Linked DNA regions of Nothobranchius furzeri. The protein of the gene in region 1 binds, or shares a complex with, the protein of each later gene. Links are inferred from orthologs where the notes say so. Each region holds a gene or a part of one and is shown in the gene's direction. Other genes may lie near its edges.

What was found.
Region 2: arhgef6 (region 1) and dcp1a share a complex: the UniProt entries of both Homo sapiens proteins name them as parts of the cytoplasmic complex. The link is inferred for Nothobranchius furzeri from reciprocal best matches to the Homo sapiens genes ARHGEF6 and DCP1A.

The regions. Positions count from the first base shown.
Region 1 is NC_091741.1:83,114,304-83,117,490, reverse strand, and holds the end of arhgef6 (rho guanine nucleotide exchange factor 6), read left to right. Parts: intron 1-2,086; coding exon 2,087-2,209; 3' UTR 2,210-2,524; downstream 2,525-3,187. UniProt on the Homo sapiens protein: Acts as a RAC1 guanine nucleotide exchange factor (GEF).
Region 2 is NC_091755.1:32,995,724-33,000,100, reverse strand, and holds the start of dcp1a (mRNA-decapping enzyme 1A), read left to right. Parts: upstream 1-1,343; 5' UTR 1,344-1,382; coding exon 1,383-1,511; intron 1,512-1,885; coding exon 1,886-1,926; intron 1,927-2,696; coding exon 2,697-2,824; intron 2,825-4,377. UniProt on the Homo sapiens protein: Necessary for the degradation of mRNAs, both in normal mRNA turnover and in nonsense-mediated mRNA decay. Removes the 7-methyl guanine cap structure from mRNA molecules, yielding a 5'-phosphorylated mRNA fragment and 7m-GDP.

The DNA.
Region 1 (3,187 bases):
AGGGCTTTGCCAGAAAATGAGCTGCCGCTGGCCACGCCCACCCAGCCCCTGCCTTTCTGCTGTAAGCTGAGAGTAGGGGTGTACACAGTTGGCCGGTTAAGTCCCGTTAACTGCCAGCTGAACTCACGTCCTTCTGCTGTGCATGGGTGTAATATATATTTTTGCCACCAGAAGGCACAAGAATGCCACTGTCAAAACCACAGAAGAAGAGCTTGTCACATGATCAAATAAATTTACTCAAAAATTAAGCGTTTAGGAAAGTGCACAGCGTGGGAGCATTCTTTATGTGGTAGTTAACAAAATGAGGCCGACATCAAAGCGTTGAGCCTGGAAAAACATGGAAATAAAGCTGTGCAGCAAAATGAAACAAGGCTCCTGCGTTTGTGACAGCTTGGTGTCTGCCTCCTGTAGTTTGGAAACTTTGGTGTAATTAGTTCAATGTAAGGAAACTCAAGTGTTTTTTTAAATGTGTAGCCTCCACAATGCTCTATAAGCAGTGCTGTAATGCCGGACGGCCCATTACACAACATGTCCTGGTGGACATTTCAGCTCTCATCCCACTAACGTTGTTTTTAGTTTATGAATGTTTTAACAGGCGTGGGACTTTGGTTCTGTGTCTGAGTGATGTTAAAAGAGTAGGAGGAAAAGCGTTAGTTTTATTTATATTTTATATTTTTTTCTCTGTGTGCGTGCGCAGGAGGGGGGCTGGAGAGGGAGTTTACGGTTAACAAAGAATTAACCACTTAATGGCTTCAATAATCGGTTAAATACATTTTGGAAAATGTGCAGAGAGGCTTTGATATCTAGGGGGAGCTTGGAGGAGAACCGCTGCTCCTCCAGTAGCAGCTCTCTTTTGCATGTGAGAGGTGGTTTGTTTTTCCCCATTTGTGACATCACAAACTAGGACTTTTTCAAATGAGTCATTTCAGGCACATAATTTCCTAAATAAACACGGTCAAAAAAAGAGATATTTGTTCTTTGTTTCTGTCTGTTACTGCCCCTTAGCATCCAAGAGATATAAGGAGGAGAGCTTAGACGGGTGCGACTTTTTATTTGCGTCAGGCTGTAGATGCATACGTCTCATTCCCAGAATCGCACCGAGCACCTGATGCCAAACACTGTGCAAACACAGTGAAAACTGAAAATACATAATTTACAAATTAAAGACAGTTGCTGACAAACATCAGGAGCAACAAACAGAAACAAAGAACAAATACCTTGCTCCTCTTGCCATGGGGTGCAATCAAAGTAATGTCACGCAGAGGCTTGGCACGGCAAGACCATAGACTAAATGTACAAAGCATTTGGTAGGGCGACACGTTCTTATTTAATCAATTTTAATCAGAATGCCCTCACTAACGTGGAGGTTTGGTCTGCTGCAACACGTCAAGCCAGGTGGAATGCCAACGCCACGTCCACATCCGGGTTAACGCCCATTTATATACAATTGAGTGAGTGACGTTGACAATCCACCTACTTGCAGCCATTTACAAGATGGATGGGTTTTTATTACATTTAGAGTGTTTATAGAGGCAGCAGAGACCCACATGGCAGCCAAAGGCGAGTTTTGAATAATGTCCCTTGTAAACTGCGTCAGAACTTTCAACCGTGACATTAAAAATATAAGGTGGTCTGGCTGGTGTCTGTAACCCTAGAACGTGACCCGAGTAGTTTATTTTTTATTTTTTTTTTTAGCCTGGAAAGAGTATTTTCTTCTGTAGCACCAGGGTCTCTGGGCTTAAGAGGAATCTTACATCGTATTGACAGCCTGGACACCTTTAAAAAGCAGCTGTAGACCCTTTTATTTAGACCTGCTTTTACCTAAATCTACTGTGTTTTTGTTCTTTTTTTACTTGAATTAATAATCATCTTTCACTTGATTTATATTTACGATCATTTAGTAACGTCATGAATTTGTTTTCCTGATTTTAATTTATTTAAGATCATTATGATGTTATGACCTTGTGATTTTTTTAAATCTATGTGAATCACTTTGGGATTTTCTTTCAGTGATGAGTGCTATGTAAATAAAAATGTCTTACTTACATTATTCATTAAATACAGCTCTTTTTCATACACTCTGCAGGAGAACAAATGGATGAAGCAGTTCCTGGAGGAGGAGCAGAAGTCTCGCAAAGAGCTGGAGAGGCTAGTCCGAAAACTGTCCAAGCAGAAGAACGACAGCTCTTGGGAGGACAGCGGCCACTGAACGCGTCCTGGTTTCATGGTGCTACGTGTGGGCTGACCTGCACTGGGACAAGCGTTTGTGTGTTTATTTGTGCATCTTTGTCGTGTCTTCACATTTCAGTCTCACGCAGCAGAATCAGACTCTCAAACCTTGGAGTTTCTTTCTTCATTATGATGATGAGATCCGTCTTCCTGATCCAGCGTCACTAAATGAGACAAACAAAAACAAGCTTCCTTGTATGTAGCTGGGCTCCACCACCATGTTTCCAAATCTCCTGCCACATGGTGACTCGCTCCGTAAACTCCACCCAGCAAACGGGCCAGTGTTGGACAAGAAGAAACAAGACAACAACAAAAAAACACCCAGACTGCTTTATTTGTGTGTTCAGTTGGAAAAATGAAAGGAGTACAAAGCCATCAAGCCTTCTCTTGCATGCACTTCTTTCTAAAACAGAACTCATGACTTTGTCACTGTCAGTTTTTATTTATCCATAAAGGCCTGGGATCTTTTTTAAACCGTTTAGATGATTGTTGCCTTGTGTTCAAGACATTTTTGTAGGCATGTCAAACAAGTGAGCTCACCACGGTGAACAGTCTCAAATGTCTCCGCTGACTGTTTATTTTAAAAAAACTGCATCAATCTACAGTGTTACTATGAATTTTGCGTCAGAAATGTGATCCTTTTATTCAGATATGGACTTCAAAGCTTCCAGGGCATCAACACATAGGAAAAACTTAACTGTGCACTATTTATTAGTACAAAAGGTAATTTACTCTTATATATATATATACAAGAATAATTGTAACCCAAAATATTCAGCTTTTCTTTATTTTGGATTTTAAAACATCATCTGTATTTATTAACATGAACATTTAAAAGTAGTGAAAGCCATATATATGTAGTTTTGTGAGAAAAACAAAGATCTTTTTTATCACAAATGAGGAAATACTTTAGTAAAATGTTTGTTTTGAGAGTAAGGAAGGTTTATATCTCTTATCC
Region 2 (4,377 bases), on another chromosome or scaffold:
ACGGCGATTCGTGAGGGAATGGGTGGTTTGGAGCTCTGATGGAATGATAGTGATTGGATTACCTGCATTCAGGGTAAAACAGATTCACGGTAGTGCGTAATCCTTAGATTATAATCCCCGTTCCCTAAGCATGAGAGATAGCTGCATGCACCAAAGCTAGGGTCAAATAATAAACATGATTTTTTAAATAGAATTTTCAGACACTTTCATTCACTTATTAGCAGTTTAGGATTTGAATAAAAGGAAAATCTAACTTTGACTTCATAACAAGGAAAATAATGCAAGTTCTTCTCAAATAGGTCTGAGTAATAAATCTGAAATTATAAACTGCATTCATAAAACCATGTCAGGCGTTGTGAAATATTGTTCTGTTTTTGCTTTCATTTTCTTTCAAGATTAACAAAATATATACCAAACAACTTGGGTAAATAAAATGATCAACAATAGAAATTTTAGGCGTAAAAACACAAGTTAAAATGAAAAAAACCATTGTGATGTGTACATATTTCCATGAAACTTGAGGTAGGAAACATATTAGGCTACATGAAATTAACATTATAATTGCAGGCTTTTGCATTGCAAATAGCTACTGAACTCAATTTTAATAATAAATAACTCCAAATTTTGATCATCCAATGAATGAGGTGTGAACAAGTTGTTAAAATAGGTATCTATTTCCGTGTTTTTCTGCTTCACAGTTTGTTGCACATTGCTAAATATTATTTTGGTGGAAATTAAATATGTGGGTTAAAAGTTTATTATCATTTTTATATTTTAAGAAACCTGCAATCACATGAAACTTTCTTAACCCTCTGGAGGCAGGCGCTGCAGATTTGCAACAGTTAAAACCTACCTAACTGGTTACTCCACATACGTATTTCATGAGCATTTTTTTAACTCAGATGTATCCCTGAAAGACTTAGTTGTTTGTTCCTTTATCAAAACTTATTTTGAGCCTGAGAGGGTTAAATGCCTAGAGTATACACATTACATGTATTCCCTTAATTTGAACTGGCTTGCATAAAAGTCCAAAAAAGTTTGAAACTTGTTTTTCTAATATCTCAAAGGATGACATTATGTGTAGGAAATAAGCTTCAACTTCAGTTGGCAAACTACCTTTTCAAACTATGTTCACATTGTTGTGGGTTTGGTTTCAGACATATTTTTTCTGCATTTTCTCTCAGAATTTGCAATTACATTGTTTTTATTATTATTATTATTATTATTATTATTATTATTATTATTATTATTATTATTATTATTCCCCGCGGAATTAAAAAAACTCCTCTGGGGAACCTTTTCAGTGGTGGGATTTCCGTAAATACCGGAAGTTATAGGTGTTTGCAAAAATTCGTCCGTGCGGCAGAAAATCATAAGCAAAGATGGCGATTAATGCTGGACATCTGATGAGTTTAGCTGCTTTGCAGAGACACGATCCATACATTAACAAACTGCTCGATGTTACCGGTCAGGTTGCTCTTTACAACTTCAATTCAAAAGCAAACGAATGGGTAAGTAAGAGAATTTACCCTGGAAAAGTTTCGGGAAATATTTGGTGGAGAGCCAACAAAGCTAGCTTCACACTTAGCTTCTGAGCTTTGATTCAAAACAGAAAATATTGTTGTTGTTTTTTTTTTGGGGGGGGGGGTTGTTTGTTTGTTTGTTTTGTTTTTTAAGTAAATGTCTTTATTTGTTTAGTTAATTAAGATAGCGTTGTCTAGTATGTTGTTTTAACGCGAACACAATTAATGCATCTTAGGTACTTTCTAATTGTAAAATTTAACGCCTTATTAGCTTTCAGTTAGCTTATCACCCTCGCTAAATTTATTTAGCTAGTTTGGATTTGCGGTTTCTAGGTTTGAGTCGTTATCTCTATTTGTTCCAGGAGAAAACCGAAGTTGAGGGAACCCTGTTTGTTTATGCAAGGTAAGAATACCTGAGAGCCACGATGGTTGTTCCGCCGTCTGCGCACGTGAGGCCTTGAAATTTGTAAACAAAGATAAAGTGGACTCTGTGATTCAGTAAATCGAACGTAAATTACAGTGTTTAGAGATTGAAACTGAAATATTATGTTATAACGTTGTAATAAACTTTATTTTTAATCAGTTAAAGCATGAAGAACTAAAACGACCACCTACAAACTTTAGTTATAAGGAAATATAATAGACTTTATTAATTTTGTGGGTAAATTCACTCGTTACAGAAGCACATACACTTAGAGAATAGAAGAAGAAAAATAACAAAAGTACCAGTAAATACACAAAGGCAAATCTTTCTGTTAAAAAAATAAACAGGACACGAATTTGTTGTAGGTTACTTTGAATTGGACTGGGAGCTACTTAAATCAATAGTAAAGTTAACTGCTATCCTTTATATTAATTACTAGCACAGTAAACAGCTCCTGCTTTTTAGCAGGTAGAGACCTCCCACACTTGTGCCGACCCAAACCATAAAACTGTTAAATGTAGTTTCTGGTCAGCAGAGGGCTACTGAGTGCTGTCCCATGTGAAGATGTTCAACTTTATGGCTGAAGAACCACTGAAACCAGTTTGAAGGCAATAGCTTAAAGTGTCGAAAACTCTTTAGTATTGCTTTAAATGGTCAATTAAAAACAATCAAATGTGGAGTAAATATTGTACCCAAAGCAATGTGAAGTGCAATTAAGGAGGTAATGTTTTTCCTGGGTCCTTATGAAGGTCTGCCTCCCCTCACCATGGCTTCACCATTATGAATCGACTGAGTGCACAGAACCTTGTTGAGCCCATAAATAAAGACCTGGAGTTCCAGCTGCAGGATCCTTTCTTGCTCTACAGAAATGGAAACTGTGAGTGTTTTGAAGGAAATGAAACACTAAAGAAGTATTTTTGAAATATGTTATTTTTTCTGTTGTATTTTGGTGTGTTTGTGGTTTTGTTTCAAGGTGACTTAACATTAAGGACTTGTTTCCAGCACAGAAAAAGTGTTTAATAAATCTGTAAACATGTTTAATGACTTCTGAACCAAAATGAAAATACATTTCCTCCTAGTATAATAGCTTATTATTATTGTTGCTTTGTTAAATTCTGTTAGTCACAAAATGCTCATTATTTAATAGAAATTTCTGCAATTTTGGCATTTTCATAATTTTCCTATTTGAAGCATTAGTGATATCTTCACTTTTACATACAAATGTGTGTATTAATTATATTAACTAGCACAAACACTATTATGATCCTTAATTATATTAACTAGCATAAACACTATTATGATCCTTAATTATATTAACTAGCATAAACACTATTATGATCCTTAATTATATTAACTAGCATAAACACTATTATGATCCTACCTGTGAAAACAATAGACAGATATCTCCCCAGCGTTCGATGGAACACCTCTCTTCCATATTGCTTGAAGTCATTGTGACGTCTTGCAGCATCAAGCAGGAACACTTTAGCACTCATGGCCCAAAATGGCCAAACAGCAACTTCAGCTTTGCTAGTGAACAGTTATCTTTCTGCATTTGGGCAACCGTCTCAGAGTTAAGTCTCTGATTGGTGAATCCGACCACTAAGTTAATCCAGCGATGTCCTCCAGCCTTGTGACAGAGCAGTGTAACAAAAAGGCCGCAAAGTTTCTCAAATCTTCAAAAAGTAGCTGACTGCGCTGCCTCCAAGGTAATCTATTAGAAGTCTGAAGAGAAGCTTCATCAGGGCAACGAACAAGGAGTTAGAATGCTTTCCCATTTGTTTGCTTATAAGGAAAAACAGCATAGCCAGGGTCAAAGTTAGAGTCGACGGCTCCCCTTTTGGAGTTGGTTTGCACATCAGCCTGGCTGGGATCGAGGACATGATGAGGTTGGTATCCCAGTAAAACCAGCTTCTCGGATAACTTTACTTTAGCATGTGTGCTAATATTGTTGTTTGGTGGAGTTGCAGGAAGATAATCTTCAGGTTTCTCCCTGGCAGCAGACAGTCCCTCGCACACACACAGTCCACTAGATCTCAGTGTGCTGACTCGTTCTGTAGCCTGTTGCTGTAAAGGTGTGGCTGTATGAGTTTAGATTTCCCAGCTGTGATCCTGAAAGCGAGAGTAGTAGAAGAAACGATGAAGACTGAGCTGGCATAAAAGCAGGATCAAATAAAGAGCACAGGTTAGACACAAGTACGGTTAAATCTTCAGAGAGATGGTGATGATTAACAAATATATGAGTGTTTCTTCAGTCTCCTTTGAGTGCTTGTGAGCTTGCAGCTCGGGGCTATAGACTGTTGGAGAGAGACATACTTGTTTACATGGCTTCATATTCCCTTTGGTGGCTGGAGATGCTGCAGGGAGGCAAACTCTTCAGTTGCTAGGTAACCACAGCCTCCCTGGGGGATGGTATATTCACCAGTGTGT